Linked DNA regions of Styela clava. The protein of the gene in region 3 purifies or fractionates together with the protein of the main gene of each other region. This does not show direct contact. Links are inferred from orthologs where the notes say so. Each region holds a gene or a part of one and is shown on either strand. Other genes may lie near its edges. The genes, in order: serine/threonine-protein kinase ATR-like, cell cycle checkpoint control protein RAD9A-like, claspin-like and protein timeless homolog.

The links.
Region 1: the proteins of claspin-like (region 3) and serine/threonine-protein kinase ATR-like purify together in Homo sapiens (affinity purification with western blotting; 3 studies listed by BioGRID). This does not show direct contact. The link is inferred for Styela clava from reciprocal best matches to the Homo sapiens genes CLSPN and ATR.
Region 2: the proteins of claspin-like (region 3) and cell cycle checkpoint control protein RAD9A-like purify together in Homo sapiens (affinity purification with western blotting; 3 studies listed by BioGRID and IntAct, with this or other methods). This does not show direct contact. The link is inferred for Styela clava from reciprocal best matches to the Homo sapiens genes CLSPN and RAD9A.
Region 4: the proteins of claspin-like (region 3) and protein timeless homolog purify together in Homo sapiens (affinity purification with western blotting; 4 studies listed by BioGRID). This does not show direct contact. The link is inferred for Styela clava from reciprocal best matches to the Homo sapiens genes CLSPN and TIMELESS.

The regions. Positions count from the first base shown.
Region 1 is NC_135260.1:13,861,608-13,870,303, forward strand, and holds the start of serine/threonine-protein kinase ATR-like, read left to right. Parts: upstream 1-5,197; 5' UTR 5,198-7,571; coding exon 7,572-7,630; intron 7,631-8,202; coding exon 8,203-8,335; intron 8,336-8,405; exon of another isoform or gene 8,406-8,507; coding exon of another isoform or gene 8,508-8,516; intron 8,517-8,696. Other genes in the region: sodium-coupled monocarboxylate transporter 2-like, read right to left, coding at 612-800, 1,308-1,411, 1,759-1,819. UniProt on the Homo sapiens protein: Serine/threonine protein kinase which activates checkpoint signaling upon genotoxic stresses such as ionizing radiation (IR), ultraviolet light (UV), or DNA replication stalling, thereby acting as a DNA damage sensor.
Region 2 is NC_135250.1:10,169,807-10,177,706, reverse strand, and holds cell cycle checkpoint control protein RAD9A-like, read right to left. Parts: upstream 2,862-7,900; 5' UTR 2,780-2,861; coding exon 1,637-2,779; 3' UTR 874-1,636; downstream 1-873. UniProt on the Homo sapiens protein: Component of the 9-1-1 cell-cycle checkpoint response complex that plays a major role in DNA repair. The 9-1-1 complex is recruited to DNA lesion upon damage by the RAD17-replication factor C (RFC) clamp loader complex.
Region 3 is NC_135262.1:14,187,045-14,195,609, forward strand, and holds the start of claspin-like, read right to left. Parts: upstream 3,570-8,565; 5' UTR 3,437-3,569; coding exon 3,392-3,436; intron 2,867-3,391; coding exon 2,797-2,866; intron 1,470-2,796; coding exon 1,410-1,469; intron 878-1,409; coding exon 387-877; intron 1-386.
Region 4 is NC_135252.1:12,595,237-12,603,627, reverse strand, and holds the start of protein timeless homolog, read left to right. Parts: upstream 1-4,803; 5' UTR 4,804-4,844; coding exon 4,845-4,926; intron 4,927-5,640; coding exon 5,641-5,794; intron 5,795-6,373; coding exon 6,374-6,491; intron 6,492-6,759; coding exon 6,760-6,965; intron 6,966-7,243; coding exon 7,244-7,358; intron 7,359-7,540; coding exon 7,541-7,665; intron 7,666-8,019; coding exon 8,020-8,196; intron 8,197-8,391. Other genes in the region: 2-amino-3-carboxymuconate-6-semialdehyde decarboxylase-like, read left to right, coding at 583-1,596. UniProt on the Homo sapiens protein: Plays an important role in the control of DNA replication, maintenance of replication fork stability, maintenance of genome stability throughout normal DNA replication, DNA repair and in the regulation of the circadian clock.

The DNA.
Region 1 (8,696 bases), on a different chromosome or scaffold from region 3:
ATAGAAGTTATGCATATTATAGTACATCATGCAGTTTAACACAATCTTCCGGTAAGTTTAGGATGTCAAAATCACCGTTTTGTTTAGGAAAACAATTTTTTCTGTCACGTTCTTTGAGGAAAATATGCGTAAATGGGGATCAAACCAATAAAAGAATTTTCTAAAGTTGCGAACAATAAAAACTTCTGAACGTCATAAATAAGTGACATGAAATATAACACATAACAACAAAAGCACAGTGCACGTGGAATGATAGGTCGTCTCGGCGGCTCCTAAATCAGATTTCCGCTACCTCTACTTATAAGGCACAAACAACATTATCAAGGTAGAATGTTCAGTAACCATGACACGGGCATTACAAATTATTAAAATTTATGAATACTTGAATTCATAATGAAAATGATATGAGTTGTGACAAATGCAATATTTTGATTTCATACATTTAAGAAATGTCCAACGAAAGCTAACTGAATCCAAATAATATTGATGTCAAAATTAATTGAATGTAAATATGCCGGCGATTTTCATTTCTAGTTTTGTTCTTCAAAATCTATAGTTGAAGTGAATCATCAAATATACGAACGGATATTGCTCACAAAATGCAAACATACCTCAAATATTGATTGTAGCTGCAACCGGTGGTATATAGGAATAAGATACACTATGGCAGTCAATGCGGCAAAGATAATTCCAACGGCAATAAGTATATGGGCCGTTCCGACAAGGTACACCTCCGCCGGTATTCCAACCAATGAAAAAGATGACATGTATGTGACACACATCGACAGTCCCACAATGATCTAACATGGAGCATAAAAATATAATTATTCGGCATTGGATTTCTATACGTTGAAAAGTGTTTATGTTGGGTTAGCACGAATTAACTGCACATTTTTCATTTCACCTGTACTTGTAGGCCCTATTATAAATAATATACTATTAATACAGTTGGCTAACGGGTTATCGCGAATGCATCGGTTTGACTTTCACAAAATTTGGACTGCACATTTTCCATTTTACCTGTACTTGTATTATATATATATAATACTATCAATACAGTTGCCTAACAATAAATTCAAAGTTATTAAGATCATATCGGAAACGAGTTTCTTTCATTTTGAGGGATGCACGGTGTCACCTATTGACTAAAATGAATGAGTGATTCGCTAGATGAAAAGACATGATTTAAAATGAGTAAGACTGCGTGGCAGTTGGAGTTCAAACTTCATTATCAATACAATTCATTTGGTAGAAAAATATAAATGCATCGAGTATTACTGAAGAATAAAAGAGAATAATGATCATACAGGATTCGATTTTTTTCCAGCAAAGTAGTAGTTGGCAGTTGTGTTGTTTTTTCTATCTCTGAACGCGAAGAAAACGCCAATGAAAGTGGATAGAGCAAGAAAAACTGAAAAACAAAAATATTATTAGTGTGTACGATTCCCTGCTGCCAAAAGGAAATTTCTAGTCTTTTTTCTTGCAAAAATGTTATGAAAAAACATGGGTAATATCTGTTTGGCGTAAATTCATCAAAAGTTTGAAACTCACAAATTATTCATTGCTGAAGAAACTTGTTTTGCCGTTAAAGAGGCATTTCGACCAAAAGTGCAATATTTTGGTTTGAAAATTACATAATTATTAGCAATTCAAATAATGTTTTTTATAAGTAATTTCATGAAAAAATACATGCTAAGGTTATTCATGAATTCCTCCACATGGACTAATATGGTTGTGTCTAATAGTAAAGTTACTCACTTGCAAAAACTGTAAAATCCACCGCACCAAACCATTTCTTCGCATTATCAGTTGAATCCATAATGTTACGTGTTATTCGTCCAAGCTTTGATTTAAAAAATTATATATCTGTCGCCCTATAGAAATATATATATATATATGAAAGCACGTCTCATAAAACGTAATAAAATGCTGGCGGAAGAACCTCTTGATTGGCACGATGAACGTCTGTCTGCTGCACAGTTTTGTTTGGGTTATCCTCATCAATCACCTAAAGCTAGACACATCGAAGGTGATGAGTGCACTACAATAAACATGCGCAGGCAGTAACAGAGAGTTGCAATAAAATGTTGGTCCTTACAGATAATAAATGCGCGAGGTAGGCTACATCAGTACCGTACTGTACGTGCTGTCGAATTGGGATACTCAACATTATTTTAATGACAATATCTCAATATATATATGCTTCATCACAAAATCCACATCAGATAAATATCTAAAAGATACCATCATTATATGTACATATGTATATAATTATGATTTTTGCGTAATATATTGCTCTGGAATAGATTCTACTACGAGTCATCTAAAATAATCACAATTGCAAAAATTTAATCCGTCGTATTGACGACATAATCAGATATTTAATACTTCAATTACCAAAGTTTAATTTGGCAGCAACTTCTCTATCTTCGTATGTGATTAAATTTCTAATATATATATACATCAACCAGAGATCTACAATAATCTAAACTAAGGATAATGGCCCACTCTTTTCCTCATCAAGCATTCGTTTATTGAAATGTGTTCTCGAATGAAGGATAAACAGTACTCCCATTTGCGGCACTGATTCCATTCTAATATTGGGGACAAGTGGTAATTAAATGCCATCATTAATCAAACGAAACTAGTTAACTACACTATGAAGGAATCGGGATTTCTTTCTTTTGAATTTCTTGTTGAGCAAGACAGCGGACGTCCGGACTAAAGGCAATAGTTAATGCTAATTGCTATTATATCCCATATTTTTCACTTTAAAACCCATGTATTTCGACGATTTGCAACTGGTTTTGTTCATAAACTTATTCCAACTCAGATGTTGTGAGCAGTGAAGTCATCTGTCACGTAAGTTTATGCATTGATTCACAGATGCGCAAGTTACGGTAACTCTTTAAAACTGCGTTTTCATTGATTATAATTTGTGTTTGTCGTCGAAGCACGTTCATGTCATATTTTTGTCATGTATTTCAATTGATATCTTGTCTAAGCTTAGTTACCGTCAGAGAGCGACAAACGATTCGGCTTGCAAATTTTAGGGTATAAAAACATTTGCAACCAATACACAGTCAACTCTATCATGCGATCAATCTGCGACTAATATTCTGTGAAGGAAAGCTTATAATTGGATTGAGCCTGGAACTCATTGATTTTATTATTTGTTCACAATGCATGAAGTAGGTTGGTAAGCTCACCTTACGTGCCAATTAATTTAGCTTTCATTAATTCAAACTTTGAATATAAAAATAAAATCCTGGCAAATAGTCTAAAATTTTACATAATAAACCGCAGAATCAAATCACGAAGTTTATACTGAGGCGATGTTAATGAATAACATCTCTTATATATATATAGACTACCGTATTTGCCGTTAAACTTTTCATTTTTCTAATGTATTGCCTGGCAACGAACAGGCAGTCGGAACCTATATTTACAAATGTCTTGGAACTACGCCATACATTAATTATTTTTGTGAATTCTCACGGAAGCTCGTATTTACCGAGTTCATCGCTTAAAAATTCGTCTTTATTTTTACGAGTCCTCTCAAATAATCCCAAGTGCAAAAATTTAGTTCGTCGTAATGACGACATAATCAGGGAGCCCGTTTAATACTTCAAATATCAAAGTTTAATTTGGCAGCAACTTCTCTATATTCGTATGTGTTTAAATTTCCAATACATTACCTAGAGATATGCAGAAGATTTATTTTTAACGATATCACACCTATTAACTATAACGATATTAGTATTTGAAAATCTTAGGTTTCAAATTTTCGCACATTGTTCGTCATTTTTTATATTTACCCATTTTTTACATGTGTCTTTAAACAATACCAATGCGTAAAAGATGATGTTTGTTCGTAGCCCTATTACTAGTTTGCGAAATTAACTCGTCAGATTGTCGCAACACCGATTACTGCACCTTACACAATCAGCAACAGAAATGGAATGGATACTTTGTGTGTGAGACACGGTGTTTTCAAATTTGATATTTTTTGTTTACAGATTCGTTTGAATTATTAGATATCATTTTTCGAGTTCGGTATTCAGTTCTGCTATTTTAACGATCAATGGCGCGGTTGATGATTATCTAGTTTTATAGCACGAGATTCGATGAACCCTTTGACGAACAACCATCGTGTTTCGTATTGAAATCTGATTCTTTTGTTTACGGCATATTTCTTTAACTAAAATTTGTGTTGAATTCAAGAAAGTTATAAAAAAACATTCGACTTATAAACATTAAAAGTAAAACAAACAATAAAAAAATAACCAAAAAAGTTATATGAAATACTGCATAAGAACAAGAGAGCGATGCTAAAATATAAGGACACGAAAGCCAAAGTGAAGCCGACTTTAGCGTAGCATGAGGTAGGTCGCAGAACCCCCACAAATATTTTTTAATCACTTTGAAGAGGTCATCACATAAAATATCGAAGTGAAAAACGAATCACATAGATCCCACGGAATATTTGGAAATAATTAAAAATGATATCCTCCTAGCAAAAAGTAGAATCTTCAACCACTGAGAATTTCAAAGTAATTGGTTCAGTAGTTCAGGAGAAAAGTGATTTTTTTCCATGACAATAAGGAGATAAATACCAACAACAACAACATAATGACAAGACGATCCATGTTTACATTTCGTGTCCAATAACGAAAGCAGTCGGGTATGAAAGCTGAAGTTATCAATTATTCAAGTAAATAATTAAAGCAAGTCGCGTTGCGCTTACACGTTAGTTCTATTTATTTTCTTTTCAAGTTGAATATTAACCAACCAGTTAGGCACGGCTATATTTACGATGAATCGCAGTGGAGATTGGCTCACTCTTACACCTCCAGGCGGTCATTTCCTTATGTTTTGCAAGGAATCGTTCATGCGTAAATAGTGGCGGCATTGGGCTAAGTTTTTAATTAAAGGTGACAGTGAATTCTTAGTTTAGGATATGTATGTATGTTTATTCGTCTCGTAAAAGCAATATAAAAGAATTAGTAATTATAAATACTGAAGACGGGATGGATGCACAAGACCATACTGGCCTAAAACACGAATGTGCGGCATAGTCTACACCCCTTTTGATTATAATACAGTACCGGTAATACTGTAATAAGGTAAATCAAATAGACTATGTATAATATGGTCCTTTATACAGACAGAGACAGTTGTGCAAGGAGGGTGGGTGGGAGTGGTAACAGGGGTAAGGGTGGAGTATACAAAACTGTTTGTACAAAGGAGTTTGTATAACAAAACAACATCTACCGTATAACTGTATAAATAGAGACACAACACAACATGAAACACACTGCATGTAGGGTGGTGTAGCCAGTCTGCGGACGATTTCATTCAAACCGCTATAAAACAAAAACCAATATTTCTAACTCGTTAATTTTTTCACCGTAGGTGCATTGGCATTTATTCCACACGCTGAACTTCGAATTAACTTTCTACGACCAGGGGTTAAAGTTATACAAACCACCAAAGTATGACACTCTGAAGACGTTTTTGCGACCGAACGACCAGTGTGCGATCACGGATTTTAAGCCTTGAACATCGTTTCTGCTGCGTCGAGACTAGGGCATACGGTACGCAGCCATGCGTGAAAAAATGGGCTTCTAATTGCATTTCTGACCGTCATATATTTTAAGAACACGGGTATTTCGAACAAAATTCTTCAAATTATAAACAAAGCACCGCATCACAGCAATCAAACTGACAAAAACATGGTGGTCGCAAATTAGTTGACAAAGATATTATTGAAGTATTGGAAATGCGCACCCCCCTACTCCCCCTCCTTTGAATGTAGAAACGCGAAACTTTAAAGATGGTTAAAAGAAACACAACTCTACCCACCTGCCAAGTTTCATCTCTTTATCTCTTATATTTGTTTGGATTTTCAAGCTTTTTTGAAGGAACAATGGGTAGTTGGCGACATGGTAAAATGGTCCGTTTTTTTTTCTTCGGTCAGGTTTTCGGTCGTAACTTTTTTATTTGTGGCCGCATTTTAGTGTAATTTCGCAGAGCTACGAGGGATAAGTGGACGATAACGCGTGAGAAATATCGTCGCGGTTCGTTAATTTTTTCGGCATTAATTTAATCGATGAAGTTGATGGTCGCAGATAGGTCATGGCCGCAAAGTGGGTAAGTCACCCTAAATATAGTAATTAGTTACTATAAGTACAATACCATTGAGTGATGGTACCACATAGACTAATGCTAAGTTAAACATTTGCGACATATGAATGTATCGATGGGGCATTATATTAATTTGAATCTTGTTTTTCACTGATTTGCGGCGTATGATTACATCGATGCGGCATGATATTAAATTATTTTGCTAATTTTATTCTTGTTTTTCCGATCTATTTTTGTATAAATTACGCATTTTGCGACATATGAATCTCTCTTTGCGTCATTAGATTGTATTATTGCTTTATAAACTTATTCATCCAATGCTGCATCGAGGCATTAAATTTACTGTTTATTGATTGTAGGTGTACGAAAGAACATAAAATATGATATATGGTGTTATCAAAATGTAATTTTTATTATCTCTGATCCATTTATTATTGTTAACACGCCATCCTATTTACATTGAAAATGAGAGAAACACGCCAAGCCAAGGTTTGCGTCGAGGAACGGCCGATGCGTGCCTGCGTGCATCGATTGAAATTCAGTCATGGCACACGCCGCCGATCGTTTTTTGCTTATTTCTCTCAATCGCTTCGGTAAAATTTTTTCTCCTTTGGTGGATCTGATTATTTGTTTCCGAGGAATTCAATGGTGATGGTCTAAGCTTGGCGCTTATTTTTAGTTCAATACGCAACTTCGTTTTACTGTATCTTTACCGATATGGAGAGAATTAGCCGCCATACGTCTCTCGAGGAAGGGGCTTCGATTTCTATTTAAAATAGGATTCTCTGAAACGTGTTGATATTACGCGATACAAATACCGAAACATACGATACAGCGCGTAGCATTCTCTAGTCTTTTCAAGCAGACATGTCCGCACCCGACAAGAGTCTGAATGGAATAATATGGTGAAAGCAGAAAAGCCAATGAGACCCACCGTACTGACTCCCTGACCAGCAGACTCCAGTCTGTACAGTGTTATGGCAGTATGGTGCTGCATTTCAATATTCCAGTATTCTATTATGCCGTTATGGTATTGCCAAACTGCCAAATGATCTGTCTGTCTTGCATCATATTAATAATATTAAATTTTTGTCGGTAAATTATTTCAATACTGTAATAACTGAATCATATATAACTTTTGAACATGGGAACGTCTCTATTTTCAACATAATTAACGACTGAACGATTGGATATAAAGTGTGAAACTATTGAATCAGCAAATGGAACTGGGGAATACTGGAGTAGGCATTGATTATGGTAATGAGTTTAGTCTTGGGATTTTGACTTGATTTTGACATATCTCAATATCTTCGACAACTTTGGAGCTAGAAAGTTTGGAAGCGTATGAAATACTCGTCATTCATATTGTATAAACTCAAGATTCTTCATTCATTCATTAATTTGTTTATTTTCCATCTTGAATAATGGCTGCTATCGGAGAAATTCTGAGTAGCATTGTAGCAGATTATGAAAATATTTCAAGGTATGTACTAATGTTATATTTTCTCGAAAATTCAGAATTTGGTTAGGAGATATTCTCATGGATAGGTTAAATGTAGTGAATAATGGTTTGCTGGACAGCTACACTGCATTGGATTGTATGAAATATCTCAACATTATAACCAAATGCATAATTTTATCTATTTACAGTCTTGATAAATACTGATAGAGAAAAAGAATTAAAACCTTACCTGCCATGTAGTAGCGGCATCTTTTCAAATGATCTAGTCCTATTTTTTATTTGATTTTGATTTTTTTCAATATTCATCTATCAAATTCACAAAATGATGGCATGAAAAATTTGCTTGCTAATATCCATTCCATATCCTGATATTGATACAAAATTCGAATCTTGTCAAAATTAGATTTACCCATATCGGCCATATCAAAAATGCAATATTTAAACGCATTGCGAAGCCTTATCAAAGAAAACATCTCATTCGAAGTAGCCAATTGTGAAACATTCATTGTCCTTAATTAGGCTTTCTGAATTCAGGAAGTTTTTTTCTACTTTTCTTTGTACATATTTATTCATCGAATTATTGTCGTCCACAGTTTGCCTCCAGAACAACTTGTAACAAAATGTGTGAAGATTCGTGAAAGTTTGAAGATGATTATTCATCATCATTTGACAGATGTTAATTCAATTTTTAAAGAACTTGAAAAAGCAAAGGGAAAAACTTCCCAAGTAAATTATTAGTATGCTTGAATTATTATGTATACAGTCTAATACATGTCGTTGTCATATTCAGGGAACTTAAATAAATTTTAATGAAATACATCCGAAACGAATAGGCCCAACTGTTATTATCCTTATAGCCAACATGGACGGACAATAGGCTGATAAGTTGTCATATGATATGACCGAGGTGTGTAATAATAGTGGATAGTGAGTTAATAATTATAACAAAAGCAGAGCTTAGAAACATCTCAAAGTTTAGATTTTAGTACGATAGCCCAGTTATTTTTTACTGCTGTATTTGTTTTTTGTTTGTTCATTTTTTGATCCAAACCTGCTTTGTCTAGGTTAGTTTTTCTATTTGTATTTC
Region 2 (7,900 bases), on a different chromosome or scaffold from region 3:
AACCAACTTTACCCTGAATATGTGTGTTAATTAAAGCAGATTCAAGTTGTTTCATGCCTTATAGCTGTATGACGGATTTAGTCAAAATAGAGCCAGACAATTTTATGGCTTACGTGTGCCAAAGTTGAGTCTTCCTAATTTGGTTTTCTGTAGGATGTAGAGCTAAGATCTGAAGCCCGAGCCCGACAATTCGGGTCAGGTTGGGACTGAGATGTAAATCATTACATTCGGGTTGAGCTTCTCTATCGCTGACTTTTTTTTTTAAATAAATATATGTTCTTAAAAAATAAAACCATGTGTGGATACTAAACCAGGAAATACTTGTTATGAAAGAAATAATTTGAATGAACAGAAAAGCTGTAATGGACCTTTCCCCGACCTCTGATTATATTCTTCTTAAACAAAACATGAAATTTCGGGCCTGCAAATCCAGTTAATTAGTCTGGTCTTATACCCATGGGCCCGGGTCAGGCTGGAATTTTTGGGCCCGATCTTATACCTAGTTTGAAGCCAATGTGGAAGTCAAGCCTATTGTCAGGAGAGTGGGTTTCATACCTGGGTTTGAAACACCCCCCAACTTCACATCTTTAGTTAATTTACTACACCCGCACCCCAGAAAAGCTGGAAATAGCACAAAGAACTTTGTTGTAATCCTATTAACAACTTATGGTGTTGTGAAGCTCCGAGAAGACTCTAACCTTTCAAAATTTGAACCTTGAAAAGCCTGACTACACAGTACAGGCCAGACAGAAAGGCAGGGCGTCATCAGGTTTTGCACAATTTTAGTATTAATTCATACTAATGCTATCCTGTGATATGCTGTATATGCATATCATGGATTCATTTTCCACTGGACGCTAAAGTAAACTGAACAACAACATTTTGATATTTTTATTTATAAAATATGTAATAAAATGGCGCAGTGTGTAGAAATGAACAATAAAAATAGCACGTGAAAAAAGAAAGAAACATAGCAGCCAACTGGCTGAGCAATAAACAGGTATAAAAATACAAACATATTCATATTTCCAGGAAGAGGGCTCTCGGATGTAGCTTAGTACTCAGTAATGAAACTGAATTAAATGACAATTTTAGATGTCTACTTTACAGGCGTTTCTGGCGAACAATTTGATGAATTTTCACTAGCCTAATAACCCTTGGGAAACGAACCAGATTTGGGATGAAATCAATCAATTTAAGAGACTATAATATTGGTTTAAATTATGATTAAAGAAAAACAATATTCAAGCCTGTAAAAGTGTGAAAATCCATTAAAAAAGATCTAAGGAAAAAGCATTGCCATAACGATAAATTGATATGTAAAAAATTTTTTCATAGCTAAATATAGGAACTACCAACTACATTACACATTTTAGGCTCGATTAGACCACTTTACTGGGTGATTAAAAAAAACATTTTTTCACTTCTACAAAAATGAAGAAAGGATAGGATTTACATATTTATCCCGGGGGAGAGGAAATGTATATTCTAGGACACTTTGTACTAAAATCATGTTATCTCTAGAATTGTGCCAAATGACCATGGTTTTTTTTGGGGGGTGGGCCACCCTGTAATGTACAGTATGTTCTAATAAACAATTTATATTGTAAGGAAAGCGTCCCAACAAAAAACAACATCATGATTCGTCATCAGAATCCGCTGCTAAAACTGTATTATCCACGGCAGTAACTTGGTTCTTCCCTGAACCTGAGAAAAATATGGCATTAACATGAACTATTGTGTCATCTTTTCCAAGCAAAAATGATTGTTGATGATTGGATATGTTATTAGTGATTTCATGTTCAACTTCTTCGTGATTATTGACCCTTCCATGTGCGCTAATTTTAGAAGCTTTTTTAGACACAGTTTTAGTTGGTTGTATTCTACTTTCATTTGCATTTGTTCGCTCACTCCAGTGATTATTATTCGTTGTTTCTGTTAGAACTGAAGTCGATGGCTGCTGGCTTTCTAAATCACCAGATATTGTTGCTAAAACAAAATTTGCCGTAAAAATTTCCTCTTGTGATAATTCCAAAACAAATGGTTTTCCTCCGTATTCAAAGTTCATTTTACATTCTGAACCACAGGATTCCGCAAATGTCAAGATGGAGCGAATATCTTTTAGACAGAATGATACGCATGAATCGATACCGATTTGAAAATAACTAAATTCTTTAGGACTTAAGTTCATTTCCGTCGACATAATTTTTCCAACCTCGTCCTCATCTGCAAAGCTTGACAATGAAACTTTGCATGGTGTTACAGATAACGTAATTTCATCTAACGAGGTAGGAAAATTAGCAAAAACATCTTGTAACAACTTAGAAGACGCAGTGAGTTTATTAGGAGACAAATCCTTTGTATAAACAGCTTTTAAGCTTTCACATTCTTCAAAATTTAGCTGATAAGTTTTGACAACTGCATGCTTACAGTTCAAAGTAAATATTAACTGACTTAAATTATCAGATAATTTTATCTCACAAGTTTCAACAGAGCGTTCAATAAACGCTATTGAACGGAACACTTGCAGAAATGTTTTAACTGATATTTTGCAGCGAAGAAACTGATTTTCTTCTTCGTCTTCTATAACTGGTTCAAATTCTTCAAAAAAGACACTCGGAAAGACAAAAGATGCAAATGTTGACCTTGAAGCATTTAACGTTTTAAGCTGGACATCTATCTCCGTGCAGTCGAAGTAAATCTCACTCCCAAGACGAGATAAACAGTGTATTGATCTCGCGAAACACTTCACATGATTTGCAGGAATAAGATACTTCATTTTTGCTGATTAATCTGCAACATTTAAAAGCAGGTGACAACTTATATGAAGCCTGCAATAAATAATTAATTCTGGTAAGACAGACATGACCGTAGCGTGAAGGGACGACGAAGTACCGGTACACAAGTAACTTTGTAACAATTATTGCCTAGCTCAGGAGTTTGCAAATCCAGAAATCTGTTTCATTACTGCATTATGCTGTTACCGGTATGTTTATATGCTTGTGATTGTGCTAAAGTAAAAGTATCAAACACAGGGTCTAGATATAGACAGTGCTGTAGTGCAGACAAACGAGGTAGGCCAGCTGAAACATGATCTTATACATTTGCAGATTTCAGGATTTAGGCTATATCCAGATATCACCGTAAAAGCGCCTAACTTCGGACAAAATTACTATACTTTCGTCAATAACTCGGCCATTTATTGTCCAAACGGTGCCAAAATGGCTCGGTAAAACATTCGTGTGGTAATTTACATTCCCTGCAAATTTCGGTTCAATTGGACTATTTTTACTATTGAAATAATCGATATTTCTTGCCATCTGACCGTTATCCTTCACTGCCCTAACTTCGGACAGTCATTTTCTTCACTGCGTAACCGCGACGCACAGAGAGAAGGAGGCTTCCGATGCGGATGACGTAATCACGTCGTTGCGTGAAGATAAGACGCTCGTTCGTCGTCGTAACGTAACATTGACGTCACGACGAAAATTCATTATTTGAAACTTCCGTCGTCCTATGTTTACATCTTTCGTTCGTTATTTTCCATATTTCAGATGAGTATAATAACACGTTAGTCATTTTAATCAGGAAATGATACGTAAATATATCTGATGCAAACCGTTTCAATCCACAATAAAGTATTTTAACGGGCTTCTATCGAAGTTATTGAAGTATTAATTATTCCCGACGGATAGCTTTTTTTATTCTGCGCGGTTATCTTTATAAATGATAATTTATATCAAACACGCGGTAAATCCGATTGTAAAGTTTAATTTAAAATTCAATTTAATCTTGTAAACATGTAGGTCCCGTTTATTTGTTGGAGATTAAATTTATTTTTAATTTCGAGTGAATAAAATTCACCCAGGCCGTATTCAATAACTGTCATTTCGACTACTAATCATAAAATAATGGTTAAGTCAGTGCACTGTGCCATATGGACGTTGGAATTATCATAGTTTTATATATTCGATTCTTAACGTTATCGATTAAGTGTGACATGTATTTTCATTAATGTAATTTTGGCATATATTCATACATGACCGAACAAAATACAAAAATATTACATTGGAACGCCGTCTTTATCTTAACGGAAATTGTCATATTGGCTCCGTTGTGTCTGGCGTCAAAATTCATTTCCGCGACGAAGTGTGACGTCGTGTCGGAAGTGAGCGAAAAATAATCTACGTGAGGTTGACGTAATTTTTGACGCTGCGTGAAATCTTAATATTCTTACGGAATTTATAATTCAGAATTTTAGGTTTTATTTAAATCTCGTACGACATCTTGCGATCACTCAAATAAATTATATACATTGTTGTCGCCCTCTACCGAATGATGGTATTTTGACGATGATAGCTTGAGTAGGAGCGACGCTCTGCGCCGTTGAATGCCGGGCAGTCAATTTTCGGCAAAATTTCCGTTTTTTTACCAAAAAAATAATTATGCAACATTAAAAAAGATGAGAATAGATGTAGATATAACAGCGCAACCTATAATAATTAAAATTAGCAATATACGGCGCGTTTTAGCCAAGATATGGCCGTTCAAAAATTTTGTCCGAAGTTAGGAACTGTCCGAAGTTAGGCGCTTTTACGGCATCTCATTATTACAGTATTAACACTTCTTAGGTTATCCTATGTACCAGTACTATAATCTAGATTCTAGTCTAGTGGAGATAAACTCATGCTCATGAACTCAAATATTCACTGATTATTTATTTTTATTTATTTTTCGAAGTGCCTAAGTATGTGCCTAGCATATGTGGTGACCAAGCGCGTGCGACTGCCATTAATACTGCGTTTTGCATATTGCTATTGAGTTTGCCCGTTGCAATTTGCGTTTTTAACATTTAATTTGACCATTTTTAACTAATTAATTATGTTTTTTAAAAGGTATTACGCCCTTTTTATTTTTTTTTCAAAGTGCCTAAATAAGTGCCTAAAAAAGTGCCTAATTTGCAAGTGCCTACTTTTAGTCCGTCCCCTGATTACTAGAATTGATGGCTACGCAACCCTTGACCCCAGAAATTTCCTTCGATACTGCATGATTAATTTATGTGTCGTGATACAATGAGCATGCTCATTTGGTTGATAGTAGTAGCCTGGTAGTAATCTGTGGGGTATTCGCTATCTAGATTGTACAAACCAAAGTTCACTTTGGTACAAACTAGGCCGCGAGACGAGGCCGTTCATCTTTCAGTTTCGTAGCGCACATAAGGGGACTACTTGGAAATAATTTTGATATGTTCCAATATAAGATGGTAAGAATGTAAATGATACCAAGAACACGTCTTTTTTAAAACTGGAAAACATGTGGATTATACTCTTCCTCTCAACAATGATTCACTAAAGAAACATGTTCTGAGGGCAAATTACCAGGCAGGAATTCATCACTGTTGTCTACTCTAGATAGAGAGGTCGGGAATCCATGGCTCGCGAGCCATTTATGGGTTTTTTTTTTGTGACGACATATGGCTCCCAGAAAAATATAGTATTCTAAAGCTAAGCTTACTTTTGTTACGAGATTTCAAACTATTTATAGCCAAATTTGGCAGAAAATTTGCTAATACGTTCGAGAACGCGCGCCCAGCGCATGTCTATGTCATCTAAGAGAATTACCAGACTGGCATTGTGACGAAATTAAGGGATTTTGGAATATAGTTTGTGACCCGTCGGGTCGGGCCTCAAATATTAATCATTACGTTCGAGCTGGGTCGGGTCGAGCCTGAAATGCCAATCATTACGTTCGGGTCGGGCCTGAAATGTCAATCATTACGTTCAGGTCGGGTCGGGCTTCTCTATCGCTGACTTTTTTTTAAATAAATATATGTTTATAAAAAAAAACTATGTGTGGATACTAAACAAAAGAATAGCCTACTTGTTATAAAAAAAAATAGTTTAAATAAAACAGAGAAGACGCTGTAATGGACTTTTCCCCGACCTTTAAATTCCAAAAATATTCCTTCTATACTTTACCATACCCGGCTCAGGTCGGGTCGGGCCTGCATATCCAGTTAATTAGGCGGGTTCCGATCGGGCCTGCGAATTCAATACCCACGGGGCCGGTTCGGGTCGGGCTGGAATTTTGGGGTCCGATCTTACCTCTAATTCATATTCTGTATATTTGAAAATTTCGTGATTCTCTACTTTGTAATTCAGTTTTTGATAAATAAAAATATAGGACATCCCCCGAAAATAAGCCCTAGTGTTATTTTTCGGAAGAAAATTGAAATAAGACCCAGTCTTATTTTTGGTGAAACACGGTAGTTACAGCCTATTTGTCATATTTAAATCGGACTAGCAAAGCTAGTTTTTTAAATACTAAGGAGATGCCTAAACGAAAGTAGGGTGATGAGTATCGTAGATTTCAACTTCAACGCGGCGACAACATGCAGCATCAGAAGTCACATTAAATATATATATTGACATTGTGTGTGTTGACTTTTGAGTAAAAATTTCGGGCCTGATTAAGTGAAGAAATGCTATATGGCTCGCACGGAAATTCAGTTGAAAGTATGTACCTTTTATGGCTCTCTTGACCAAAAAGGTTTCCAACACATGCTCTAGAATTAAAGCCAATTATCCCCCCACCTGTTGACCATGGATAGGGTTTTGGACACGTCAGTGTACATAACAATCGTTTCAATATTGTGTTGTTGTTGTTGTTTTTGTTGTTGTTGTTATTATTATTCTCTTTCGTCATGATGAAATCGCTTTTTTCTTCGAATACTGAACCAATTGCTTTGAAATTTTCAATGGTTAAAGATTGATTTTTTTTGCCAGAAGGCTATTACTTTTACTTATTTCAAAAATTTCAGTGTATATCAAGAGATTCGTTTTTTATGTGTCAGAATAAAAAAATAGCGATACCTTGTGACGTGTTCAAATATTTGAGCACAGCTCTCTTGTTAATTATTTGGTTTCTGCGAAACTAACTACTTAATCTTCCTCTATGTTTTTGTGCCGGTGGATCCGTATGCATATATTGCAAGGATGCTGTAGCAAGAGTAGAGATAACAATCCTAAGTGATTCAAGAGTCTTGCTGCACACTAACACAAATATATTTCTGTAACGTTTCGTCTGACCAAGGTCAGACTTCTTCAGACATACATAATTCAACTACAACACGAAAAGCAGTTACATGCATATTTAAACAATCATAGTAGAATTATAGGAGTCACGCATGTTAAATAATCAATAAAATCTGTGAATTTCTTGATTAAATAACAGCGGGTGGCCGAAATAAGTGTCATTGATGAGATCTCTCTCTTTGTTTTATATTTAGCAATTGAAGTCCAAATTACACAATGGTGTTTTATTTCTCAGTATTGTATAATGCAGACCAGAAAAGTTGTCTGTGTGTCAAATGTAATATAGTGATATTTTGTCTGTTATTTATTTACGGTCAAACGAAACGTTACATAAATACATTTGTGTTAGTGTGCAGCAGGGCTCTTGAATTGCATAGTTCTTATGCTGTGTTGTTGTAAACCTATGGTTATTGATTTTCCGAGGAGTCCCCAATTTCGCATCAGGATTTTACCCGATTTTCTTGTGTTTTGTGCTCACGGTGTTAATTTGTGACTTCATCGCATAAAATTGAGGCGTTTGATGGCTTCTATAAAATGGTAGAAACTTTTCATGCTGTGTCGTTGTGAACCTATGGGTATTGATTTTCGGGAAATCCCCTAATATCCAATTTTTGCATCAAGATTTTTAAAGCATGTTTTGCAGATAATTTGCTACTTTCGTTATTGGGAATATGCTGTAATGCGTTCAATATGTTCATTTTCATACAAAACTAAATGATTCATATAGTCCCCAGATGTGCGCTACGAAACCCACTTTCTAGGCGTTTTCAGGGCCTCGCCTCACAGCCTAAACATGTGATGCCTAT
Region 3 (8,565 bases):
TTTAATGTTGTATTTTTTCAAACTATATATATATATAACCTTAAAGACTGTTTTGATTAATGGTTTAAATTATTAACAACCATTTACTAGGGATAATTTATTAATGTTGTTGTGTCTTAGTTTCAATAGAAATATAGCTATGTTCACTCATACAAATAATTGAAACTAATGAAAGGAGAGTATCTACCATAAGACTTGAGCTCACAAAACTGACTGTGGAAGCGGAACAACTAGATATTTTGATGCATTCCACATTATGGATTTTTCCAGTCAATTTTGATAACATAACCATGAGAATATTCGTAAAAGTCTTTGAGTCAAACCAAAATGATGGCAGGTAGTATTTCATAGATCTTTAAGTTAGAGATGCAATAATTTTATGATACCTCACAATTTATTCCTCGGCTTTCAGTGACACTTGTTGGATTTTTATTTCTAAATAATCGTAATGGTGGAGCGTCATCATCGCTAGAACTGTCAGATTCAATATCACTTTCTGGTGAGTCATTGTCAACTTTTGCCTCTTCATTGTGAGTTTCATCAATTTCGGAAATTGGAATTTCATCTTCATCTTTTATTGATTCGCTATCGATCTTTAGTTCATCAAGGGCATTTTCGGTCAAATCATCACTTTTTGTCGACTCTACATCACTTTCTGCCGAGTCATCATCTGTATTTAGTGTATTACGATGAGTTTCAATATCGACATTATGATCTTTTTTGGAAATAATTCCATTATTGCAGTCTATAATTTTCTCATTATTTTCAACTGTTCGCTCACTAGACTCAATGTCTTTGTTCATATTTACAGAATCATTATCAGAATCTGAATCTTCCATCTGAATTCTTCGCGATTTCTTCTTTTTTCCAGAAGATTCTTGAAAAGTAATATGAAATAGTTGTAATTATTAAACCTCGTAAATCAATACAAAATATGATAATTACGTCAAGAAAATCACATGAGCAGGCTTACTTGACATAACCCAATAGATAACAAAATAGTATGAAATAAGATATAACCCAGCAAAAGGGGTTACTTACTACTATTCATGTCTTTCGCTGCAACTAAACTAATTTCATCGGAAGACATAATGAGAATTAAATTACTTCATTCACAACTAATTTTTGGGAACACAACTGAAATCTGACACGCAAAATCACAGAAACGAGGCAATGTTTACAACCATGCTTGGATATCTGTCTGGGCGAACGAAGTATTTAAGCGGCTGCAAAAATTGCCATTGTTAAGTCATCATTTACTTTTTGCTGATTGGTCATTCTCACAGAAATAAACAAAGAAGTTGATGCTCAGCGAAACATCCATAGGCCCTTGGGCCCACAACGGTTGAAGGATCAGCCCAGTACAGTTATAAATTAAATATGCATTATGAAATAGTATTAGCACTCACTTTGTTCTTCTACCCTTTCATCCTCATATGAATGTTCAGGATTAGGCGATGATTTAAATTCTGAGAAAAAAGTGATCAAATATCACAAGATAAATTTAAATTTATCTTAATAATACTAATATACACATTGAAGCAGTGCAATGAGTAAGTAAGCATGTATTAATATTTTTGTAAAACTATAATGAACAGAAAGTAAACAATATATTTTAATGAGAATTTTCAATTGAAAAATGCGAATCAAAGTCACACATATATGAGATAATGTTCTCAGTTGTGATGTTAAAAGGGGAACGAGCTAGAATATTATTAAGATATATTTTTAAAATGTTGAATCAAGTTGTTAAAAAGGTTTTCAGAAATTGATCATACTTGGTCATACTATTTGACTTCAATTGCTTAAAATAATATTTTGGAACAAAACTGATCATAGAAAGCAATTAATTTCAAAGTAAAACATAGGGTGGCTCAGCCACTTTGCGGCCACGACCTATTTGCGGCCATCAAACTCGTCAATTTAATTATTGCCGAAAAAATCAACGAACCGCGACGATATTTCTCATGTGGTATCGTCCACTTCCTTCCACTATCGTCCCTCGTAGCCCTGTGAAATTACGCTAAAATGCGGCCACAAACAACGAACTTACGACCGAAAACACGACCGAGGAAAAAAAAAACGAACTGTTTGCTCATGTCGCCAACAACCTATTGTCCCTGCAGGAAAGGTTGAAAATCCATAGAAGTATAGGAGATAAAAAGATGAAACTTGGCATGTGGGTAGAGTTGTGTTTCTTTTAACCATCTTCAAATTTTCGCGTTTCTACATTTCCAGAAGGAGGAATGTGGGGGGTGCGCATTTCTAATAGGTCGGTAATAATAAATTCGTTGACAAATTTGCAACCACCATGTTTTTGTGTGTTTGATTGCTGCGATGCGATGCTTTGTTTGTAATTTGACGGGTTGTGTTCGAAACAACTGTGTTCTTGAAATATATGACGGTCAGAAATGCAATTAAAAGACCAATTTTATTACGCATGGCTGCGTATGTGGAAGTCTCGTCGCAGCAGAAACGATGATCAAGGCTCGAAATCTGTGCTCGCACACTGGTCGTTCAGTCGCAAATACATCTTCTGAGTGTCGTACTTTGGTGGTTTGTATAGCTTTAACCCCTTGGTTGTAGAACATTAATTCGAGTTGTAGCGTGTAGAATAAATGCCAATGCACCTACGGTGAAAGAATTAACGAATTAGAAATATTGGCTTTTATTTTATAGCTATTTGAATGAAATCGTCCACAGGCTGGCTGCACCACCCTATATTTTGTTCACTTGAGACATTCCTGGAACTGGCTTGTAAACAATGAACTTAAACAGATAATAATTCAACTTTACTTGTCTTTTTTTTTCTTCTTTTCATAACAATGGGTTCATCTTCATCACTTGAGGAAGGAAGAGAAAATTTCTAAAAATATTGAAAATGTAAAAAAAGAAGAACAAAAGAAAATGCTGTAATTATTTGATTATGTGAAGAGTACAATTTTCAGATTTTGGTGATGAGAGAAATGATACCGCATCCACTGAGCCATGCTCAGATGCTGTTGCATGTAACTCTATACCAGTACCTGTACGGTACCGTACAGCCGTACCGTACCCAATTTGGCATGGGACATACCGGTACCAGCTTAGTTTTAAATTGAGTACCGGGTACGGTACGGTACAGAAGTGGATTTGATTTTAACTAAACGCGTACACATTCAGACATTCGCCGCCAGATGAATTTTAAAAAAAACATAAAAATTTGGCATCAAATTTTTGTTTGGCGTGATTTAAGCAGTTACTGCTGTACCGATACGGCGATACTGTGTTACGGCGTTTACTTCGTTAGACCCTCTGACCCTTAAGTCAGTAGGGTAGGTACCTTAGAGTTCTAACGTAAACTAGGCTACATACCGGTTACCGGTACCGGTACCGTACCACTCCATCCTACCTCCGAAGCTTTAGATATAACTTCCACGCCAACACACTGGCTCATATTACTGTATTGGACGAATCAAATATGAAGAATGCAGAAAATTATCAATGATTCAACCGAACAAACTCATAGGCAGGCCATTCAACTTGCAAACGCGTATCGACGAGCAATGAATATCCGAAACTGAATTTTCCCGCTGTTTACTAAATGATTGACAGTTGCTGAGAGCGGAAAATAATTTCGCTACAACGATTATGCATTATTCCCTTGGGAAGCATTCGATTTCAAATTTTGGACACGAATTAGGCTCATGGATAGTTATGTAATTATTATGTTGTTGTTCTTGTTTTTTTTCGTCCTATTTTTCTGCCATCCTGGGTTTCGTCTGTGCAAAGAGCCAAACATCGTCTGACAAAATGGCTCGGCGGTGTGGCGCATCGGGCTAAGCGTTAGGAATACGCTGGCCCCCGCATCTCTGATTATCCTTCGTGGGTTCGCAGGTTCGAATCCCATGCGGGGATGATCATGTACGAGAGGATTACTAGACTCCTCGCCGCCGTAGGGTGATTTACGTAACCGCTGGTCGGTTACGGCTTCCTCGACCATCAAGTCCATGCTTCCGAAAACACATACCTGGCTAACTAATCCCGTACCCAACCTGGACTGGTAACCGGACGAGAGACCGTGGATCTCTATTGATTAAGCCGTCTTATCGGTTTTCCCCTCCCCCAGGATAAATATGTAAATCCTATCCTAAATGCGAAGAGTACCGGTACTCAACAATCCCGAAGTGGATAAATATGGGTCATATTGACACGAAAACACAAAAAGTCCACCTTGCCCTAAAACAACGTTATTTGAAAATCCGTTTACTGATTATTCGTGTATTGACAATATATATCTCAGCATTATCACGATTTATTTTGAGCTATTGCTATAGCAAGAACAACCCTAGATAAGAAGCGACTGATAACAAAAGAGATAATGGTTTGTTAATACATCAGAACCTGAGATATTTTACGTGTTATGACAACATAATATCTTACTTATCCATTTCAAAAACATCAGCCATTATCTGCTGATATCATCTCACTGCGTATAAAAATGTTATTCACTCCCATGAAAAAACCTTTGTAGTTTCTAGACCGAAAATCTTTGTGGTTTGGCCCGTCCACCAATTAATATTATTGCTTTATGCTGTTTGTTTCGGTGATGCGGACAAAACCCCGCTATTTCCTGTCTCCTACATGACTTAGCCTACTCAATTTTCGCACAATGATTTTGATTTCATTATTATACTCCCTTTCCGGCTTTTCAATAGACCCACTCATTCCCCGTGCCTGGTTTTCGCTTGCTCTTTCTCTCTTTCTCTATCGCTCCTCTCTCGCCACTGGTCAACTCGATATCACTCTTATCGCACCCTTGATTTTTTATTTCCCATTCATAATAGGACGATTCTTTTTTCATTTTTTTTCACATGCTCTTTTATCTGCCTCAGTTTCTCTTTTTCTCTCGATGGTCATCTCTCAGATTTCAATCATTAACACTGATTTCTTCACTGATTTCTGCAAATCGGTTTCATGAAATCATCTCAGTTCAAAGTTTGGCAAGAGCCTCATCGCATAAACCAGCATCTATAAAATTTGAACCTGCTTATATTTGTGCCCTCGTAAATATTTGTGCTTGTGGTAATTTACATTGACACATCCACATATTTTCTCTCATGATCATTTGTGCCCACGGTCACCACAATTTTCTAACTAGCTAACAACATTAAGTTACTGCGAATAATTTACTTGTGGAAATATGTGCTTTTATCAGTGGCGGCGCGTCAATAGGGCCAACCGGGGCAATGCCCCGGTTGTTTTTTCGGTATAATAAAAAATATTCGAAAAATACCTCAATATCGGTTGCACAGACTGTCTACATTAGCCATATTCTCCCGATATGTTTCATTTTTCGCTCGCAAAGCCTTCGCCGAACGTCGACGGGACGACTACCGCCCGTGACTCACGTTGGTGTAAATTTGGTTTTAGATATCTTAAACATCTTTCCGAGCGTGCCAGGGATCATCAATCTTCTATGGAGCATCTGGACAATGCAGTAAAATACCGAACATTGAGAAATGTTAATATTGCAGCACAGTTGGATGAAGGACGCGCGGTTTCTATTCGTCGGCACAACCAAAACGTCGAGAAAAACCGCCATGTTCTCGGTCGATTGATAGATGTTTAGAAGTTCATTGGTTGTCACGAGCTGTCCCTCCGTGGGCACTATGAACTGGCTGGCTCTTCTAATAGAGGGGTATTTTTGGATATGGTGGAATACACCGCATCCCTAGATACAGTATTGAGAGATCATCTTGATGCCGCAACTGTTTCGAAAGGGACATCTAAGGATATCCAAAATGATTTGCTCGACTCAATGTATAAAATTTATTTACAACATTTGGCTTTGGAAATTGAGAATTGCCAGTTCCTTTCGATTCAGTCTGACGTGACAACTGACATCACGTGCGTTTCCCAACTGGCTGTGATTTTTCGGTTTGTGAAAGATGGTAAACCTACCGAGAGATTTCACAGCTTTGTACCAATCGTTGATCGCACGGCTTGCGGGATATCGGCTGTACTGAAAGAAGTGTTACAGCCTTACAACGCGAAGTCAAAATTGATAGCTCAAACTTATGACGGCGCGGCAGTCATGAGTGGGTCGAAACATGGTGTTCAAGTTTATATAAAAGAAGATTTTCCTCATGCGCATTTTTTACATTGTTATGCACACCAATTTAACCTCGTTATTGAAAATATGTGTCTTGATATCCCTCTCGTCCGTATATTTTTTGCAAATGTTTCGGGGTTTTCTTCATTTTTTTTCGTTTCGCCGAAGCGCTCTGACCTCCTTCGCCAGATATGTAGCCGCCGTCTTCCAGCTTGTGCACCAACACGTTGGAACTTCCAATCACGCGTGGTGCAGGGCGTGTTCGAAATTAGGTCTGAGTCATTGAGTGTTTCAATGGCATTCAGAGCTCTCCGGTTTGGGACGAACGCTCTGTGAGGGAGGCGGCAGGTCTAAAGCGTCTGCTAGAAGATGGTGAGTTTTAATTTTTTCTCGCTTTTTTCTCCACAATATTCTATCACGTGGATGTATTATACGGCGCATTGCAGTCAAGGCTAATGGATGGAGCGTCTGTGCAGTCGTGTATTTCAGACTTCTGCGATGCTGTATCTCGTATCCGGGAAACAATAAAATACGACGACACATGGAGTGCTTCTTTACGCCGCGGGCAAACAACGCAGCGTTTGATTTTGTCTGCAAAGGAATGCTGTGACATTCTGGTGAATCAAATAGGCGATCGTCTGCGCACTGAACACCTTGCCGCGTTCTCTTTGATGAACCCCAAAAATTTTTCAAAAATTGCACGTCAATTTCCCATCCATTTGTTGGCTACTGTCTCCAAATTTTACCCCATGATAAACGTGGGTAAATTGGAAAATGAATTGCGATGTATATACACCAATCAAACTTTTTTGAACATCACATCAACTTGCGCGATCTATGGGTTTCTCATAGATAACACTCTAGTAACTACCTTTGCGGCGTCTGCAAAATTTCTGGACATCATTTTGACGACGCCTATTTCGTCCGCCGACGCAGAGCGAACATTCAGCACGTTGAAGCGTATTGAAACGTATCTCATAAACACAATGAAGCAAGATAGATTAAATTTCTTGGCTGTTTTATCCATTCACAGAGACGTTATTTCTGGGATGCATGACTTTAATCAGCGCGTTATTAAGCATTTTGCTTCCAAGAAACCGCGGCGTGTTGCATATATGTTCAAGCAGTAGAAGTCTAGCAGCATATATATCTATGAGTGAGCGACGCATGTCCTTATCTTTACATTATTTTTCCCTTCTTAATAGTAACGTTTTAAACCTTATTTTAGGTTTTGTCTGCTTTTCCGAAGTTTCTGTTAATATGTCATTGTATTTATCTGGGTAAATATTGCCTTTCCTTTTGAAAGAGGTTTCAAAATAAACTATGTCTAAATTTATTAATCCCTTGAATTGGACCGGTTTTAAAGACACTTTCTTATTGTTAAAAATTGTCGCCCTTTGCCGATTGGTTGTTACCGATGGAATGGTTTTTATACTCATAAAATGATGGGAGAACTTACAGCGCTCATCCTGTCCCCGTGGATGGGGTGACTTGGTCCCGCAGTAGCTTGCCCCGGTTGTCAAAATGACCACGCGCCGCCATTGGCTGTTATGTTTCATTCAATAAAATTTTATTTTAGTATTCCTATGTTTCCGTGCCTCCTTTGACCTCAAAACGATTTTTTATTCATTGTCACGAAAATTTGCATTTATATGATTATATGTCATTGTGAAAACAACCTAAGAGCCCAGTGGGAGCCAATATTTCGACCAAACTTATGCTATTTTCTTTTAATTCGTAGAAGCACTATTTTATGTCATATGCTAACATTGTATATCCTTTGTTTATATACATTAGATTAGAGCATCTTTCTAATAGTTTTCAAATATTTTGAAGGTACTGAAACTACTCTCAAGAATCCTTCACTTCCTATTTTATCTCCTATTCAAGTAAAAAGTCTGATGGCAATAATGGTAACCGTGTAGAAAATACAGGATAGTTTTCATCATAAAGGTTTTGATTGTTTGGATAATATATATATACTAATAAAAAAATAATTCTAATACGAACAGAATACCAAAACAATTCCTATTTATATATTGTCCAGTAATAATATTGGTATAAAATGATTGGCAATATGTCGCATTTACCGCATTGAAATCTAACGATGTACGAGATATGTCTTATTTTAGTATGCAAACAAGAAAATGTGCTCGATTTAGAAAGTTATAAGCTTTTTTGAGTAGCTGTTATGCTATATAGAGTATTCTCATTTGTCCAGGGAGTTAAATTTTCAGACCAATAACCTGACGGCGAATGCAAGAAAGAAAATAATTTTGAAGATTATACGACAATTATTATTGATTAACAAGGTAATGTATTAATTAGGTTGATATTATTGCATATAAATTAACATCGATTTAATCGGTTCATTCCACTTAGCAATTGTCTGCAAAGATGTGCTCCAAGACCGTCTGTAAGCAGGGGCGCCAATTCCTTTCTTCTAGTTAAATCATATGTGAATGCATGTA
Region 4 (8,391 bases), on a different chromosome or scaffold from region 3:
TCAAAGACGGTTACCATAATCACTTATTTCCAAATTTGGAAAGTATAATTTACTTCCAAACTTTCCTCTATTTTTTTACAAATACCTTACAACTATAAGAGGCAGAAATCACCTTGGAAAAAATAATTTCAGTGTAGTATTGTTGATGTAGATGTCTTAAATTTATTATGTTGTATTTATTTATAGAGCACGTGTCAATGCCCAAAATTATAAATGAGAATTGTTTAGATTGGTATTTTATTTGGTAACCTTTGAAACATTATAATGAACACATATTTGGTTTGAATGTCAGATGTCCTCTAGTTGCTAACTTTAGTTGCAATGATGTGTTAAATTAAGTACAATTATCTGCTGCAATTGGTGTTGCTTTGGCTAAAACAATGGGGCTTTTACAAGTGTTTATCGGATATTTTGAATTTAAAGTAATGTGTAATTATGTACCGTAATTAATATTTTCAACTATTTTTGAAAACAGTTTTATCATGGTGTTTACCTAATCAAATTGCTATCTATAATAAATATAATGAACTTTTTTGTTTTAGTACTATTCAATAAAATAACGTGAATACAAGTGCATTCAAAATGAAAATTGATATACATAACCATATACTTCCAAAAGATTGGCCGAATTTGAAAGATAGATATGGGTATGGAGGCTTTATTCAGCTTCAACATACATGTGATGGTAAGACAGCAAAGATGTTGAAAGATGACGAGTTATTTAGAGTAATCAATGCAAATTGTTGGTCAGCCGAGGAACGAATGAAAGACATGGATGCTACGGGTGTTACAGTTCAGGCACTATCCACTGTTCCTGTGATGTTCAATTACTGGGCCAAACCAGAACATACCTTGGATTTTTCAAAAATAATCAATGATGATTTAGCTAGTACCGTTAAACAATATCCAAAGCGTTTTGCTGCTCTAGGCACATTGCCTATGCAAGCACCTGAACTGGCGCTTGGTGAAATGGAAAGATGCATGAAAGATCTGAAATTTAGTGGATTTGAAATTGGATCTCATATTAATGACTGGAATCTGGATGCTCAAGAATTAAGACCATTTTGGAAAAAGGCAGAGGAATTAGATGCTGCTATATTTGTTCATCCTTGGGACATGCAACTTGGTGGCAGGTATAAGAAATACTGGTTGCCGTGGCTTGTGGGAATGCCCGCGGAAACAACACTCGCAATACAGTGTATTTTATTTGGTGGCGTTCTCGAAGACTTTCCCAAGTTGAAAATATGTTTTGGTCATGGGGGCGGGTCATTTCCATATACATTAGGAAGGATTGAACATGGTTTCAATGTAAGACCAGATCTCTGTGCAACAGAAAATAAATTTGGACCGCGTAAATACATTGGGAATATTTTTACAGATAGTCTTGTACATGATGCTAATGCTTTAAAGTTTTTATTGGATGTTATGGGTGAGGATAATGTAATTCTTGGCTCAGATTATCCTTTTCCCCTGGGGGAACATCACCCTGGTAAATTGATTGAATCAACGAAATCTTTAAATTCTGAGACAAAGGAAAAGGTGCTGTTTAGGAATGCACTCAGATTCTTGAACTTGAATGAAAAAGATTATGTTTAAAGTCTTTAGGCCAGTATTTTGCTCATTGGTGTAAACTTAATTGGTATAATCTATTATGGTCGGATTTTGGATATGGTCTGTGCTTGTGTCTAGTCTAGTGGTGAAATTTTTTTGTATTTGTCCATTTTTATTTCGCATTGCAATATTTTTAATAGTGATTTCTTCAATAAGCTTTTTCGTATGCAATGAATTAATGAATATTTCGTACCTTGTGCAATTAATTTTCATTTCAAAAAATTTTGTGTAGTATATAGTACTGGTAAGGTGACAGCGTGAAAAAATCATGTATTGTTTTGTTTTTATTGTTCTAATCGTTTATTCGGTCATAGCTGTCAAGATAAGATGCCAAAAATTCATTGTGAAATCGTCTAGTTTCTTGCTTTCTTAGCTGAAGATTACACTAACATTGATTCTCTTTATCTCATGTGTATCTAGATTGCGGTATTATAGTTTTATTAAGTAAGCATATCGTTTGCTATAGCATATTCAAAATTATGGCTCAAACACAAAGTGCCTCTAGCTCAGCCGCCATAGGTGGTGATGAAGCATTGGAAGAGAGAGTGATAAATGAAGAATATAAAATATGGAAGAAAAACACTCCTTTTTTGTATGACCTTGTAATGACTCATGCCTTAGAATGGCCGAGTCTCACAGTTCAATGGTTGCCTGATGTCACCAGACCTGAGAATAAAGAATACACTGTACATCGTGTTATTCTTGGTACTCATACTACTGATGAACAGAATCATCTGATTATTGGTAGTGTACAACTTCCTACAGACGATGGGCATTTTGATACCTCAAACTATGATGGTGAAAGGGGTGAATTCGGTGGATTTGGATCTGTTGCTGGAAAAATTGAAATTGAGATTAAAATCAATCATGAAGGAGAAGTCAATAGAGCAAGGCACATGCCACAAAATCCTTGTGTAATTGCAACAAAAACTCCCTCCTGTGATGTCCTCATTTTTGACTATACCAAGCACCCCAGCAAGCCAAATCCTAATGGTGAAAGCTGCCCTGATCTTCGCTTAAAAGGGCATTTGAAAGAGGGTTATGGTTTGTCATGGAATAACCAAGTTGCTGGTCATTTGCTAAGTGCATCAGATGATCACACAGTTTGCCTTTGGGACGTCAATTCTGCACCTAAAGATAAAAAGACCCTTGATGCTAAGAGGATCTTCAGAGGCCATTCTGCTGTAGTTGAAGATGTAGCATGGCATTTATTGCATGAAAGTTTGTTTGGTTCCGTCGCTGATGATCAAAGTTTGATGATTTGGGACACAAGATCTACTAGTTCTGATAAACCAAGTCACACTGTCAGCGCTCATGCAGCTGAAGTCAACTGTCTTTCATTTAACCCATATAGTGAGTTCATCTTAGCAACTGGATCAGCTGATAAAACCGTCGCACTATGGGATTTGCGAAATCTAAAACTCAAGTTGCACTCATTTGACAGTCACAAGGATGAAATATTCCAAGTTCAATGGTCACCTCATACCGAAACGATACTTGCGTCGAGTGGAACAGACAGACGATTGAACGTTTGGGATCTCAGTAAAATTGGAGAAGAACAATCGAATGAAGATGCAGAGGACGGACCACCTGAATTGCTTTTTGTTCACGGCGGACATACTTCTAAAATATCAGACTTCTCTTGGAATCCAAATGAACCTTGGACAATTTGTTCAGTGTCAGAAGATAACATTATGCAAGTGTGGCAGATGGCTGAAAACATTTACAATGAAGATCAAGAGAACGGATCAGCTGGTGTTGAACTCAGTCAAGTTGAATCTTGAAACTATAATGTTACGTTACACAACATGACTTTGACCTAAAATATTTCAGCTTTGATGGATGAGCGTGAAATATCAACTTTAATACAGTGGCTAATGATAGTGAGCTTTTTACAGTCACTCTTGTAGGGATATTTCAACATGGCTATCAATCTTATGTCGACTGCTGTTATTTAAACTCTTCCCAAATTTTCACATTGAGGTAGACTGCCGCTTGCTGCAATTTTATAAGGAGTGTGAGGTGACGCGCGAGCATACTTTTTCTTGTTATTTTCAAATTTTGTTGATATTTTTGAAGTCAAGTATGTAGTCCAAAGATCAGAATTATCAATCAAACATACCAAACTTTTCTAAAAATGTGATGTTCCATTTACTAATACATTTGTTTGATTCGGTAGCGTAGTGACACTTATTTTATACTCTTGAGTATTCCTGTTTTTTATTATTGTTCTGTGATGTACAGGTCATTTCCTTTACCCATGGTCACGCCTATTTTAGGCAATATTTGAATATTATCTGTGCGATATTTAATGTGGGCAAAATGAACACAGTAGTTCAATATATTTTCCTGGAATTGCTTCTATTTTTTAAGTTTTCATCATATTTTTAAAATGGGCTCAAAAATTGGGGTTTAAAAATTTTCCCCATGATTACTGCAATCTTGTACCAATTAGAAAACAACTGAATTTACAGTATACCAAAAAGCACTGGATAATGGTATTTTGGATAGTTTGTTATTGGGCAATGCAAAGGGTTAAAAAAGATATGATATAAAAATGTTCCTTCATTTATAAAAATTAATTATTTGAGTTAAGTTGTTAAAAATGTTCATTTGAAGATCATACAAGTTTTACTGCTCTTGTACTATACCTGTAAACTGGGAGTGGTTAATGAAATTTGAACAACTAAATGTTGTAATTTCGTCCAACAATAGGATAAAACAACAAATGTTGTCCTTCAATATTAGTCCACGGGTTGTGCTGCTATCAGAGGTAAAAAAGTTCGGAACAGCTCGAATTGTTGAGACAACTGATTATTGGTTATTGAAATACAGGGTATTCATTAAGTCCTGTATAAGTTCAACTAGTAGGCGAATAATAAAGGTATATTCAATGAAATGAAAAAAACTTTTTAAAATGAAACAATCCTTTTTACAACAATATTGAGAACTATTTTTTTTGGATATTGTAACAGGACTTATTGAACACCCTGTATATCTGTGTTACATTAGCAAGTTTTTGTTTTATCTTAGTAATTCTTTAGCTGACGGACTATCATATTTCACATGCCTATTTGTTTACTATCTACCAAGCGATGTTATGATATTGCGGCCAGATTTTGTTGGTTTGGCATTCTTTTACAATACTGTCTTTATAATATCATGGGATTGTTTCTATTGATTGTATTTTGTGTCTCGCATAGTTGGTAGTGTATAGGTAATGCACAGATATAATGGATAGTGATCTTCTTGCCACTTGTAATGCTCTGGGTTACCTTGAAGATGACAGATATTTCAAAGAACCTGACTGCATAGGTAGGTGTGGTTACCTGTACTGTGTTTTTCAATTATGCTGAAAATGGTTACAAAATCCCTATATATTGCAATCATTAAATAACAAATATATATAATCCTCATATTTGAGCTGAGCTTGTGTTTTATTTCTTTAATAGTGTTAGGAAAATGTGTAGTATGCCATTACATGTCACGGGATGTTAGTGCTGCCTGTATGGAAATTGGCCTAAAAATGTCAGACTAATTGGGAGTGAAATATCCCCCATATTGCTAGTTTGTTACAATTTCTAAGGTTAATCATCCTCAGAAAAATTATTACCGGTGATCATATTCATACTTTAGGCATGATCATGTTTTAATAATATTTTTCTGGAAATACACTTGATATGCTTTTATTCAATTAGTAAACTAAGATGTCAGGCATCATTTTAAGACCTCTCGTAGTGTAGGCATTTGACGAGTGATTCTAGTGGTGCAAATGATACTGTGGGACATATGGTTTGAGTGGTATGTTTGGTGCATGTGGAACATGTGGTAAAATTGTTACAAGTGGAGCAAATGATACTGTGCTGATAGTGTCCAATTAAGTGGTGCATGGTGGTGCAAGTGTTATAAATGTACTGCAAGTGGTACAATTGGTGCAAACAGTGAGGACAATAGTCAACAGTAAATGGGTATTTGTTTTAATAGCGAACAATTTTTGTTTGGGATGTTCATAGTATCATTCCATTGCAGACACTGTGAAATGTCTCATAAGATTTCTACATTCGGAGGACAATAATCATGAAATTCGCATACAACTCGGAGCAGGGCACATTGTGCGAAATGACCTTCTTCCTATTCTACGTCAATACCCAGATGATGATGCATTATGTGCTGCTGTACTAAGGTAAAGCTTTTAACTACTAATAAGGGATGCTTTAATGATTTACAGATTTATTTTCAAAATTTAATTCTGACTGATTTTCGACTTAAAATCTCAAATTTTTCTGTGTTGTCCAATGCAAATCAGAATTGTGGAATCGGGGTAAATTTACAATCAACTCCAGTTCCATAGTTGCATAAAAAAATGGACTCAAGACTCTAGCTCCCCACTCCTATTTCTTGATAATTTCAACTGAAGATCTGAAATCCCATGGAAATAAAATTTGATAATGAAAGCTTTTGGGTATGCAAACTTTTTTATGGCTGTTAGAAATGCTTTGATCAAAAATTTTTATTTTCGAGTTCCTGTAAAAATATATTTACTCTGATCATCACCATGAAGAGTCTGTTATTTTGGCAAACACCAAGGAATTCAACCTCCCAACTTCGGGGTGCTCGAAAATATAAGTTTGCGTTAAAGAAAATATGTCAGATTACTCCACTGCCTTGATTTATTTCCTGGAACTTTTTTGATTTTTACAACGTTTCTTAGTTATAGTTTTCACTTTTTGCTTTTACTTCGTTAGAAATTCTCTTATTATAGGCTGTTGGTGAATCTTACTCAACCAGCTCTGTTGTGTTATGGTAACAAAATTCCAACAGAAATTGATCAATATCACAATTATCTGGATATTCTCTCTCACAGTCAGGAATATAAAGAGGTGGGTACTCGTGAGATGTTATTCCAGAAGCTGAATAAAGAATGTCTAATAATTTTGGGCTTTAGGTGTTTCTACTGGATTGGGGCAGCAAATTATCATATTTATCAATTTTCAAGGGATTAAATTAGTTTGATTAGTCCAATTAGTCCATTTTAAGACTTATTTATGACAATTTTCTATTTGAATGATGAAAACATGTTTCTATGCATATTAGATAAAAAATTCACATCTTTTGTGAAGTCTTATTCTAAATGTATTTATGCATAAGAATTTTTCAAATGACGAAACATGGAAAGTGCTGGCACAAAAAGTTTACGATATTCTTGAAAAAGATTGGGAGGACAGATCACCGGATGATTCAATCACTGTTGAACGTATTCTTGTATTATGTCGCAATTTGCTGCATGTTCCTCCAACCACTGAAGATGACAATCAGACTGCTGACAATATGTCTACACATGATAGACTTGTAATGTATGAATACAGTAAATAATGCTTCTTGGGAGTAACTTTAATGCAACCGATGTGCTTGCATATTCTCGCACAAAAGTTCTCCATGAACTAAAATAAAAATGAAAGTAGAATTCAATAATACAGTGGCAATTTAAAAAAAACTGAAAAATTGAGAGTACCTTTAATGCGACCGATGTACTTGAAATGTTTTACCACCTTTTAATTAATATCTCAAAGATGTTGGCTGATTCATTTTTCTTATTTTTTTTTATAAATTTATTATCAAAAGTTATTTTCAGAGCATTACATACATCTGGGATTGATTCAATGGTCTTATACTTGGCCAGTTCAACAACAGAACAACAATGGTGTTTACATGTTGCTGAGATTATTTCACTACTGCTCAAAGAACAGGTAAGCAATCATCGTATTTATTGGATCTAGACATTAACATAATTTGTAATATTGGAATATTGTCTTTTACCTGCGGTGCCATCACAAAGTTCAAGACCTATAGCTTCTAGGGCCTAGAGTGGGGCAATGGCCTAGAATCTAGGCCATTGCCCCACTAAATCGGTTTATTACAACAATTTTAGAATGTAGATGCTCTGATTGGAATGAATAATGCTCAAGAACGTGAGAGACAGGGAGATGAGTTAAAACAATTAAGATTACAAGAAGAAAAAAGGAGACAGATGAGAAAATTGCAGCAAAGTTCAAGGTTGGAATTTTTAAGCATCTTATTTTTTACATGATTTAACATATGATTATACATACCATGATTTTTCTCGAAAAAAATGAATCAGGAAAAAATTGTGCCAAACATTTCTGGATTTGTTGTCTATAAAACTATGATACTTATGTTTCTTTGAATCAAATACCTTTATTTTTGTCTTCTACCTTTAAATTTACTAACAATTCAGAATGGAGCACTATTGAAAAAAAAAATGCTTCACAGCTAAAGAATTACCGTAAATTTACTATAAGAGAACCGCTCCGTGGCTCCATTGTGGAATCGAGGGCCCAGTTTGAGGAAATATGTCCTAGCCTATACTAACTTGTTATTTATTTTTAGGCATTCGAGGTTTGGTGGGACCTATGTTGCTAAAGGAAAATCGGCTTTGGCAGATAATAATGAACTTGTTATTCACAAATCTCTACAGAAGTGCTCTAACCTTACTTACGATGAAGGAAAAAATAAACTTCGTAAAGCAAAACATAGGAGACCATTGATTGATGGGAATGTTAAGAGGTGTGTGTATTGTGTATAGTAGTTGAGGTTTTTACACAAAGTGTAAAATTACTTTTGAAATTTGACTAGGGATCTAAATTCGGTAGTTGCCAATTTATACCTCTAAACCAATTATTCCACTTTTCCCCCACTTACAAAATTTTAATTTATGGTAAAGATAAACCATTTTATCCTAAAATAAACTGCATTTTTGGA